Diceros bicornis minor: one gene and its partners. The protein of the gene in region 1 purifies or fractionates together with the protein of each later gene. This does not show direct contact. Links are inferred from orthologs where the notes say so. Each region holds a gene or a part of one and is shown in the gene's direction. Other genes may lie near its edges.

What was found.
Region 2: the proteins of SNRNP70 (region 1) and NCBP1 purify together in Homo sapiens (affinity purification with mass spectrometry; 3 studies listed by BioGRID and IntAct, counting the BioPlex papers as one, with this or other methods). This does not show direct contact. The link is inferred for Diceros bicornis minor from reciprocal best matches to the Homo sapiens genes SNRNP70 and NCBP1.
Region 3: the proteins of SNRNP70 (region 1) and MRPS9 purify together in Homo sapiens (affinity purification with mass spectrometry; 3 studies listed by BioGRID and IntAct, counting the BioPlex papers as one, with this or other methods). This does not show direct contact. The link is inferred for Diceros bicornis minor from reciprocal best matches to the Homo sapiens genes SNRNP70 and MRPS9.

Annotation. Positions count from the first base shown.
Region 1 is NC_080773.1:24,587,846-24,591,592, forward strand, and holds the start of SNRNP70 (U1 small nuclear ribonucleoprotein 70 kDa), read left to right. Parts: upstream 1-1,534; 5' UTR 1,535-1,732; intron 1,733-2,469; 5' UTR 2,470-2,479; coding exon 2,480-2,626; intron 2,627-3,747. UniProt on the Homo sapiens protein: Component of the spliceosomal U1 snRNP, which is essential for recognition of the pre-mRNA 5' splice-site and the subsequent assembly of the spliceosome. SNRNP70 binds to the loop I region of U1-snRNA.
Region 2 is NC_080767.1:7,925,722-7,929,468, forward strand, and holds the start of NCBP1 (nuclear cap-binding protein subunit 1), read left to right. Parts: upstream 1-1,213; 5' UTR 1,214-1,308; coding exon 1,309-1,342; intron 1,343-3,747. UniProt on the Homo sapiens protein: Component of the cap-binding complex (CBC), which binds cotranscriptionally to the 5'-cap of pre-mRNAs and is involved in various processes such as pre-mRNA splicing, translation regulation, nonsense-mediated mRNA decay, RNA-mediated gene silencing (RNAi) by microRNAs (miRNAs) and mRNA export.
Region 3 is NC_080779.1:8,698,415-8,702,161, reverse strand, and holds the start of MRPS9 (small ribosomal subunit protein uS9m), read left to right. Parts: upstream 1-1,551; 5' UTR 1,552-1,578; coding exon 1,579-1,713; intron 1,714-3,747.

The DNA of each region.
Region 1 (3,747 bases):
TGCCAAAAATGCTTAACTTCAGTGGATTCAAACCTTCAGACTCAACTTCCATTTTACAGGGAAAACAAGGGTAGTGCAACAAAGTAACCACCAGGAGGAAACCATCAGACAAACTCAGAATGTGGGACATTCTACTGGAAACGGGGTTGAACTCTGGGAAAAATCAACAACACAACGGGAAAAAAAAAGTGTGTGGGTGTGTGCATATGTGTGTCTACTCTATATTAAAAGAGACTAAAGAGACATGACAAGTAACGGCAATGGGTGAAATTTGATTGGCTCCTGGTTCAGATTAAAACAAAATATTCTTGGTCAGTTGGGAAAACCTGAATAGAGGCTAAACTTTCTTAGAGATGAAAATAATTTTGTGGTTATGTAGCAGAATGTCCTTATTCTTAGGAGATACATGCTGAAGCATTTAGAGGTGAAATGCTGCAATTTACTTTCCAATGGTAGACCAAAAAAAAACACATTACGAAGGCAGGTTTAGTTTTGTTTATTTTCTTTAAATTTTTTATTTTGAAATAAATTTAGAATTACAAAAAACCTCCAAAAATGGAGCAGAGAGTTCCCACATGCATACACAAATAAAGCAAATGTCAAAATATTTTTGAAAATGTCCTTTTATATGTTTCTTGAAACACGAAATTAGTCATTTACATTTTGTAATAATTTCTGTAATTATTATTAAACAGGCAATTGAACCTATCCAAAAAACTTAAAATACAATACTTAACTCCTGATGGGTCTACAGGGCCCTAAATAGCATGGCTGCTGACTCTAATCTCAGGGCAAATGACATGAGGTTCCTGCCATCCGTCCTAAACCAGGCCCTTTACACTTGCTGTTAACCCTGCCCAGATCTCCCTTCCATCTGGCCTTTGTGCAAATGTCACCTCTTCAGAAGTACCTTCCATCTTCGCCCTTTTTAAATTACCCCGCTCTCACTGCCCACCCTCTTACTCCGCCCTATTTTTCTTTATTGCGCAGACCACTATCCGAAATTATATTTATCTTTTTAAATGACTTTATTGTCTCCCTCAGTACAATGCAAGCTCCAAGAAGAAAAAGACTTTGCTTTAGTCACGTGCTATGTCCCCAGAGACCAAACAGCGCGCTTGCTTAATAGTTGTCGATTTAATAGGTTAGACATCAACTCGGCCACACTATTCACGTAGGGACTCTTTGCCAGGTGGCGGAAGGGTCTATTACGGTATAGACGAAACACGCATGCGCGCAAGATCCGGGAAGTGTGTTAAGGGGAGGGGCGGAGCATCGAGAAGAGTCTCGCGGACACCGGCGGTTGGAGCCGCGAGCGCGAGGTCGAAGGGGAAGGCTTGGTGAGAAGCGCGCGTGCGCACTGCGGCCTCCAGCCTGCCGCGGCAAAGGAGTTTAAGGTGCACGAAGGCGGGGTGGTGACCTCGCGCGTGCGCAGTGCCCGCGGCGGCGCCAGGTCCGTGTGTGTGGGCTGGTCTCGACTCGCGCGGCGCGTGCGCAGTGCGGCCGGCGGAGGGATTTGAGACCGGTTCCACCCCTTGCCCCTGTCGCGAGCCGAGGCCGCGCGGGCTCGTGAGCAGCGGCCTGGTTCGCGCGCTCAGTGGGTGACGGAGGCGGAGGGACGTGGACCCCGCCGGAGTAGAAGACAGAGTAGGAGTTCGTGCTGCTGAGGGGCCGCCGCAGCCGCTGCGAGCCCCCGGACCGTCGCCAGGCCGAGGAGGGCGCCGCGCGGCGGGTGAGTGTGACTGGCCTTACCGGGTGCGGGGCCACTACCCACAAGCCCCTGCGGTGGGCCCCAGTCCCTTCCCCGCGGCCGGGTCCCCGTCCCGCGCCACCGCCAGAGCACCTTTCTGCATCCCTTACCCACAGTCCCCTGGGCACTCAGGCCCTCTTGCCATGGCTCCCCCGCGGTCCCTTACCCACAGGCCCTTGCGGTGTGTTGCCTTTTTTTTCCTTCTCTTTCGCGGCATCCTGGACCCTTACCCATAATTCCTTTCGTCTCTGGGGTCCTAGATGTATTAGCCACAAGCCGTTACTTGAGAGGTTTGCTGCTTAGGACCCTGTCTTTTTGATTGGAGGCTTCCTGTGCCCCCTGCCTCATAACCTGTTCTCCAAGGTATGGGACCCCCAGCCGCCACTGCTGTGGATCTCCCTCGTCAGGATCCTTGATTCCCCCACAAACCCCCAGGGAACCTCTCGGCCTCACAGTTCCTTGCTTGGGACTCAGACTTTGCTCAGAAACCCTTTTTCCGTCCTTGTTTGCCTTACCGGCCTTGCCCTGCCCTCACGCAGCCTTCCCGAAGAACTTGCTTTCTCCTTCGGGTTTACTCCTTGGCCCTGTGACATAGGGTCACTCTGAGCCCTGGCTGAGATCCTGCCCCATTTCCCTCTTTTTCGGGGAGTCAAGGGATTGTAGGGGCTGCCTCTCCACCCGCCCACCCCCACACAAGGCTGTCTTGCTTTGGCCCTCAGACTTGGCAAGATGACCCAGTTCCTGCCGCCCAACCTCCTGGCCCTCTTTGCCCCCCGTGACCCCATCCCGTACCTGCCGCCGCTGGAGAAACTGCCACATGAAAAACACCACAATCAACCTTACTGTGGCATCGCGCCTTACATCCGGGAGTTTGAGGTGAGTTTGCTGAGCAGACTTGGGGTGGTTTGGGTTTTAGGGGCCAGGGGCCTGGATTTGGAGTCCAGTCTCTGGCTGTGTTCCAGCTGTGTGGTTTAGGCAGGTGACTTGCTCTTCGTGATCTTCAGTTTTCCTCTCTTAAATGGGGTTGATAGTACATCCCTTGTAGGGTTTTTGTGAAAATTCAGTGACTAGCAGTGGGGGATTCGGGCTCTGAAGGCAGGTAGTCTTTGGCACACGCCATTTATCAGCTGTGTGACCTTGGGCAAGTGGTGTATACTCTTGTGCATCAATTTCTTCATCTTGGGCCGGCCCCGTGGCTTAGCGGTTAAGTGCGCGCGCTCCGCTACTTGCGGCCCGGGTTCGGAACCCCGGGCGCTCACCGAGGCACCGCTTCTCCGGCCATGCTGAGGCCGCTTCCCACATACAGCAACCAGAAGGACGTGCAACTATGACGTACAACTATCTACTGGGGCTTTGGCGGGGGGCGGGGGAGGACTGGCAATAGATGTTAGCTCAGAGCTGGTCTTTCTCAGCAAAAAGAGGAGGATTAGCACAGATGTTAGCTCAGGGCTGATCTTCCTCACAAAAAAAAAAATTTCTTCATCTTTAGTGAGGGGATAATAGAATTTTCTTCATAACATTGATGGGGAATTAACTGCAAAATTTATGTTATGGGGCCTGGCACCAAACAGTCAGCAAATGTCAACGTGTGTTAGTGTATTTATCATCTTTGTGGCGTTCGTAAAGGGTTAGCACGGTGCGATGGGGTGCTTAAGACCATGGGCTTGAGAACTTGAGCTCTGCACCTGCAGGGTAAACACGAACACATGACTTAGGTTCCTGGGCCTCAGTTTTCTCATTAGTAAAATTGGGATAACAACATCCGTCTCTTAAGGTGCATCAGAGCGCACCTGAGAAATGCTGGCATGCAGCCAGCAGAGGAAAGTTCTGGCATCGAGTGGGAAAGGGCGGCTGGAGGCGGAGGAAGTGGCAGAGCAGAAGTTAGTAGCAAGATAACAGAAGGTTGGCTCTTTAGTGGGATTTGCCGCCCTCAGTGAGCTGGTACTGGGGAAATGTCACTAGCCAGTTAAACTAATTTAGTGGCTGCAGGTCAGTGG
Region 2 (3,747 bases), on another chromosome or scaffold:
AGAGATCTTTAGGCAAAGGAAACAGTATAAATTCCTAAAGTGGGAATTTTAAGCTTGACTCATTGGAAGAACAAGAAGAGTGGCTGGAGTATACTGATGACAGAGCAGAACCCTGTAAGTCAGGGTATGGCGTTTGCCATGGAAAGTCATCCGAGAGTTGTAAACAGAGGAGTAACGTGGTCTGACTCTGGATTTGTTTTGAAAGCAGAACCGGCAGGGTTTACAGATACACTGTTATGTAGGAAACGAAGGAAAAGGAGGACCCAAGAATGACTCCTACCTACACTTTGAACTAAGCAATCGGATAGATGGTGCCATTTACTGAAATGGGTAAGACTGAAGGAGGCACACTTAGGCCAGGAGAGCGACACAAGAGTTCCATGTTAGACCTGCGACATCTCAGACAGATAAGCAGGTGTGCTGCTCCTCGGAGACGTCGGGGCAGGGGGTGCTCACATACACGTACGCAGGTACCCAATAACCACTGCAAACATTACTAAAACAGCCACCTGTTCCTTCCTAGACAACAACCCGGAGGGGACGCGGAGCAGCGGGCTCACGCCGGGGCGGGTCTTGCCGTCCCAGGGGCGGCTCGTGCGGCGCCGCCTCCCGAGCAGGCCCCACCCCGCGCGCCGGGCGGACCCAAGCTCTCCGCGCCGCTTTCCCGAGGAGGCAAAGGCCCGGAAGTGGGAGGAAGAGGAGCACGTACCCGCCGGGCCTGATCCTCTCTTATATCTTTCTTCACTGAACCGTCTCCACCTAGCAATTGTCGCCGCTCACCGCCCTGGAACCCCGGCCCCCGCCTGGTCTTTACGAAGGAAGGGACGCTCCGACGTCACCTCGCTCCGGAAGTCCTCGAGGACGTTGGCGAAAGGGCCGCTGGGAAAGGCACTGCGAGGCCCCAAGGAGAGTCTGAGGTTGAGGCGGGGCCTGGAGCGTCCCTCCTAGACCAGCCGCCTCCAGGCGTGGCTCGTGGCCAGCGGGCTCTGGCACCGGAAGGACTTAGAGCGAAAGGCGGGAGAAGGAGGCAGCCGAGAGGCGGAGGAAGCCCGAGGGGGCGGTTGCGTGCGGGTCCCAGACGCACGCGGCCTGGTGAGCTCTCAGACGCCGGCCCTCCGCGATCCGAGCCCGCTGAGCCCACCCAGCCGCCTCTCCTCCTTGCGCTTCCGGGGGCCGTCGCGAGCTAGTGCGCCTGCGCGCCGGCCACTCCGCGCTCCGCGCCGCTGTCTTCGCGCCGGCCGGCGGCCCAACGCTTCCTGCCGCGCTTCCCCCCCGGCGTCTCGGCTCGGCAGCGCACCGGCGTGCGGCATGTCGCGGCGGCGGCACAGCGACGAGAACGACGGTGAGTGTCCGGCCCGGCCGCCGAGGCCGCGCCCGGGGGGGCCCGGGTTGGGCTTCCTGGGTCTTCGGGTCTCAGCGAAGGGACGGGAAGCCCTTCGCCCCGGGAGCGTTCGGGGAGCCACAGAGGGAAGGAGGGTGGCACAGCGAGTGTGGCCGGGCGACCCCCGGAAAGCCCCTGCTTCCCCCGCCCCAGCTCCTTTAGCCGTCGGCGGAAAGGAGGCCTGGTGGCCCCCTGGTCTCTAAGGACTTCAGGATTTGGTCCTTAGCATCGCCGAGAGGGGAGGTATACCTGTGTCTGTGCGGCCGCCTCTCAGGGACAGTGACAGGAACCCGCTAGTCCCGGTGTCTCCTTTTGACCCTCAAACTGCCCCTGAAGAGGGTTCTCGGAAGAGTCCTGAAGGAAAGGGACAAAGCCGGGACTGAGAGATCTGAAGAATCACAGCCTGAGGTTTGCCCCTGTCTCGGTCATTTGCCTCCTTTCAAGCTGCAGGGAAAGAAATCTGTCTCTTACCCACACCCAAGAGGTCACTCACTAATAAACAGATGCATGTTGTTAGGTTTGGAACTGGCCATAAGCGTATTTCCCTCGTGTAAGAAAGAGTGCTGGAAAACTAACTGGAGAGCTCTTAGAGATTTAGCTCACGGGTTCCCATCTCCATTTGGAGGGTTGATCTCATGTCCCCATGATGTTGTCGTCATAAAAACGAAGAATAATTTTGCTAGTTAAAAATTGAAAAAGATACTTAAATTACAAAAATCGGTCAGGAATACACACCCACCAAAAAAAAAAAAAGAAGAAGAAACTAAGAGTAATTCTGTTATTAATGTTTTAGTGTATTGTTCTTTGAAAAGAGTGTACTGTAGTGGTTAAAAGGCCAGACTTTGGAATCAGAGGGTTTAAGTTCAAAGCTAGACCCCACCATTTACTTTGTGATCTTGCCTGGGTTATACCACCTTTTAAACCTTAGTGTGTAATAATGTTTATCATCTGTTAATGCTTAAGATGTGGTAAACATTGGCAGATGTCAGTGATGTAAGAAAAAATATGGAGTAAAAATTTTTAGTTGAATTAATTCTCTGCACTAACATTTTTGTCTCCTTGAATATTGGGGCAGTTGAGGGTAGGGGCAGAATCACGTGTATTTAGTTTTAACAATGAAACATCAGATTTCTGCTGGAGTGTGGTTTGATAGGATATTCTAGTCCAGCCTTCTCATCTGACACCTAAAGTTTTGGAGTGTTAGTGTATGGGCTAAACATACATAGTGTATGCGCCAAGGCCTACAGTGGAGATGTTGCACGTTCAGTTCCAGACCACCGCGGTAAAGCAAGTCACACAAACTTTTTGGTTTCCCAGTGCATGTAAAAGTTATATTTACACTATACTGTAGTTTATTAAGTGTGCAGTAGCATTGTATCCAAAGAAACACAATGTACATACCTTAATTAAAAAATAATTTATTGCTAAAAAATGCTAACCATCATCTGAGCCTTCAGCGAGTCATCATCTTTTTGCTGGTGGAGGGTCTTGCCTTGATGTTGGTGGCTGCTGTCTGATTAGGGTGATGGTTGCTCGAGGTTGGAGTGGCTGTGGCAACTGCTTAAAATAAGACAACAGTGAAGTTTGCCACATCAGTTGACTCTTCCTTTCATGAATGATTTCTCTGTAGCATATGATGCTATTTGATAGCATTTTACCCACAGCAGAACTTCTTTCAAAATTGGAGTCAATCCTCTCAAACCCTGCTTTATCACCTGTTGATGTAATGTTCTAAATCTTTTGCTGTCATTTCAACAGTCTTCACAGCATCTTCACCAGGAGTAGATTCCATCTCAAGAAACCACTTTTTTTGCTTATCTATAAGAAGCAACTCTTCATCTGTTCAAGTTTTATCATGAGATTGCAGCAATTCAGTCACATCTTCAGGCTCCACTTCTAATTCTAGTCCTCGTGTTATTTCCACCATATCTGCAGTTACTTCCTCCAGTTAAGCCTTTAACTCCTCAAAGTCATCCATGAGGGTTGGAATCAACTTCTTCCAAACTCCTGTTAACGTTGGTATTTTGACTTCTTCCCACGAATCACAAATGTTCTTAATGGCATCTAGAATGGTGAATCCTTTCCAGAGATTTTCAGTTTACTTTGCCCTGATCCATCCAGGAATCACTATTTATCACAGCTGTAGCTGTATGAAATATATTTCTTAAATAATAAGACTTGACAGTTGAAATTATTCCTTGATGCAGGGGCTGCAGAATGGATGCTGTGTTAGCAGGCATGAAAACAGCATTAATCGTGTTGTACATCTCCATCAGCACACTTGGGTGACCAGGTGCATTGTCAGTGAGCAATAATATTTGGAAAAGAATCTTCTTTTCTGAGTAGTACGTCAACGTTGGTCTTAA
Region 3 (3,747 bases), on another chromosome or scaffold:
AATTTCTGATGAAAGTTTCACTAGCTGAAAAGGTAATAACAAAAAATAGCAGAGTGAGCTTTTCACACAACTAAATGCATTCCGTTTGAAGGACCACTCTTTATTCTGATTGTCATTTCTACCTTTTTAATGTTAAAATGTTCTGTGTTTTAAGAAAGGATGGCGATAGGAGATGGCATTTATTTGCTTGACAACTTTCTATGACTTCAGATTTTTCTCTGTGTATTTAATTTTACTGATCCTTCAAGTCTAAATATTTGGAAATGCTTTCAACGAAGTTCAAACCTTTATTTTGTAGAAAGCACCCTGGGAGTTACCGTCAGGAGCACACTGTCGGGGGAAGAGGGAGAATCTCCTTCTGCCCTTTTCCTTAAGGTTCTTATGGCTAGCCAAATAATTAACAAGACAGGAGAAAATAATACCAAGTTTAATAACATGTATACATGGGAGAAACTCAGAAATGAGCAACTCGTCCCTCTGTGTAAGCTGCTTGCTTAAGTATTGCAGCTAAAGGCGAGGAGCGTGTTGGGGGCCGGTAGTGGCCTGGGACTTCAGAGGGCAGGAGGACAATTCTTTTCGGGGTCATCTATAGATAATGTGGTCAGGGAGAGACAGAGTTTTTGATAAAAGAGGCTTGGTGCCTTTGCTATTGTAACCTCTATCCTACATTATCTTTATAGCCATCATGATAGAAGATCTGTTCCAGGAAGGAGCCACCATGTCAAATTCTTTAGGCAGTTAGTGGGGGAGGTCAAATGTCCCTCAGAGAAAACAATCAAGGTAAAGAGATATATTTCAGGGTGGCCAAATCTTGATCTCCCACAACACTCATCTCTATTCAACACTTATTTATTTAGTTGTGATTGGGCTTCAAGTAAAGCTTAGTACTAACACTATGGGGAGTGACGCGTCAAGATGAGTAAGAAGGTTCTGAGTAAGAAGGTTCGTCCTCACCGGTTTCCGATTTAGCCTGTGCATTATCCAGTTAAGAAACAATGTCAGAGTGAGTGCCATGGAACCTAGAGTGGTTTGGCAGTTGCTGGAGGAGGGTGAAGACCCTGAACCCTGAAAAATGTGGCAAGGTAGAGAGGAAGGAAAACCCATGCTAAGAAGGCAGGCAGACAGGAACCGAGGCTTGGAGTGCCTTCCTGCGTGCTGGGGAGAGCAGCGTCTGTGTCGCAGCGTGGTGAAGACAGAAGGGACGAGGGAGGTGCGGGCGGGCTGCGAGGGTCCCGCGGTTCAGGGAGAACCGGCTCGAGGTGCAGCACTGGGCATGGGAAGGAAGCGCTAGATAAAGAGCCACGTGAAACTGCTACCAACACGACTTGGAGAGCGACCAAATCCAAGCGATACAGAAGATCAAGGAAGCCAACCTGCATGACCCACTGGCCAGTCAACGCATGCCAGGGGTGGAGTCGGACACGCCCCGCGGGCTCGCGCACCCAATCAGCGACGAGACCCCTCGCCCCGCGGGACACGCCCCCTGCCTCAGACTTCCGGCAAGCTCGTCTTCCCGACAGCCTCGGGAACGCGGCGCCCATCGGCGCCTGCGCAGGCCTCAGGTCTCCCGCAGCCAACATGGCGGCTCTCTGTGTGTTCTGCGGCACAGCAGTTTCCTACCGCCTCTTTCTTGGGAGTAGGGTTAGTCTTGCCCGGGGACAAGGCCTCTGGAAAGCCGCGGCTGCTGAGTTGCAGACAGGTACCGGATCCCAGGTAAGGCCCGGGAGAAGCGGAAGCGCTGGTCCCTGTAGCGCGTGGATGTGGAGCCGGCGCCGCCACCTTCCCCTGGCGTCTCGTGTGCTCTCACACCGGACCCTGGAGTCTTAGGTATTTAGTAGAGGTCTGAGGTTGAGAGAGGAGGAGTGGTTATTGCTTTGCGGCGGCCACTCTACGTGTTGTTTGTGGTTTGCGCAGCATGCAGTGAGGGGGGAAGGTGTCTGCAGACGGAACTACAGCGACCTCCCTTGACTCGGCTGCCAGGCTAAGGGAAGCCTGTGCCGAGGTGTGGTGTCGGTCCAGAGGGGAGGAGAGCCGCGCCGGGGCGGGTGAATGAGAACTGGACTCCTGCAGTGGCCTGGAAGACTTAACGGAGAAAGTCACACAGTGGAGAGGATAAACAGTGAATTTCTAAAAGTGCTTTGCATGTATGCAGTTTCCGTTTTCTTAATTTTCCCAATGCTTTGTCTCTGGAGAGATGGAGACCAGAACTTGTACATTTCGTCTAATTCTGAGGGCAATAGGAAGCCAGCTTTACAGCTGGTTGGATGATGATGCCATTCACTGACATGGGATCTCAGAAGGAGGAACGAGATTTGAGAGGGAAGTTTAGTTTTGGATACAGTTGTATTTATTATGTTATAATTGGGATGTCCAAGTGGAGATTTCCAGTAGGCCCATAGATAGGCAAGTCTGTAGTTCAAGAAGAGAACTGATTTACAAGTCGTCTATTGCCTTGTAGATGGTAATAAGTTAGATCACCTCAGGAGGGTGTGCTGAATCAGGAATAAGCAGAGGTACAGGGCCCTGAAGGACAAACAGTCAAGGAAGAGGACCCCCGAGAGATTGAGAATGAGCTGCCAGAGAACTAGGGGAAAAACCAGACAGTGTGGTGTTACGGAAAACAGGAGAATGTTTCCAGGAGGGAAAGTGATAAACAGTACCAAATATTTTCCAATAAAAAAATAATAAAAACAAATGTTTGATGGCTAAATGAATGGATGGATCGGTTGATTTGGGTTAAAATATAAAAGAAATAATATAGGAAAAAGATAGTATTCCTTTTTGCATATAGTTTTAGATTATGATAGTTGACTTCTTGACAATATGTTGAAAGTTTTTATTTTTTCATGCATTTCTTTTGAGTATATCCTTCCTGTATACACATAATTATCTATAAAAGGGACTATAGTATACAGAATGTTTTATTGTTGACACTAAATGTTTGTGTGTGTTGTTGGGGGGGAGGGGTGCTAACTTTCTCTCCCTCCTTTGAATTCCTGAACCTATGTATTTTTCTGTCTTTGTGTTCTTTTAATCCTAGACAAGCATACATGCATGTGGATACTTGCAAAAAAATGGATCCTGTTCTACTTTTTCCTTCTCTAACTTACATATTTAGTAGAAATCCCTGCAAGTCACCTGTTATGTGTCTAACTGCTGCATAATATTATGTGGTATGAATGTATGCAAGTTAATTTAACAAAGGGCATTTGCTTTGTTTCCATTTTCTTCCCACTAATAAAGTGTTCAGTAAACATCCTGGTATAATTCTTAGATGCTGATGCTTTTATTTCTGTAGGAGAGAGTTCCAGTTGTGAGGTTATTGCTGCAAAGGATGTCTATATCTTAAATTTTAATAGATATTGCCATATAGCTTTCCAAAAAGGCTGTGGCAATTCACATTCCATCATTGGTGTTTGAGAGTGCCCCTTTTTCTACCTGCAGTAGGTATTATTATTTTTTCAATAAGATGAGTGAAAAATGAAAAATGATTTCTCCTTGTTACTTTAATTTTCATCTCCCTGACCACTCTTGAATTAGAGTTTTTTTTTTTTTTTTCATGTGGTAAATGTTTACTGAGCACTTTACTTGAGCCAGGCACTGTGAAGTGAACAAATTATAGTCAAACAATTACCAAACAGGATCGACCCTTAGCACTCTTAAGGGATGGTCCTAAGATGGCTGAATCCCCAAAGTCCTGAATACCACCACAGCATATATTTTACCACAACTGAAAGACTTAACTGG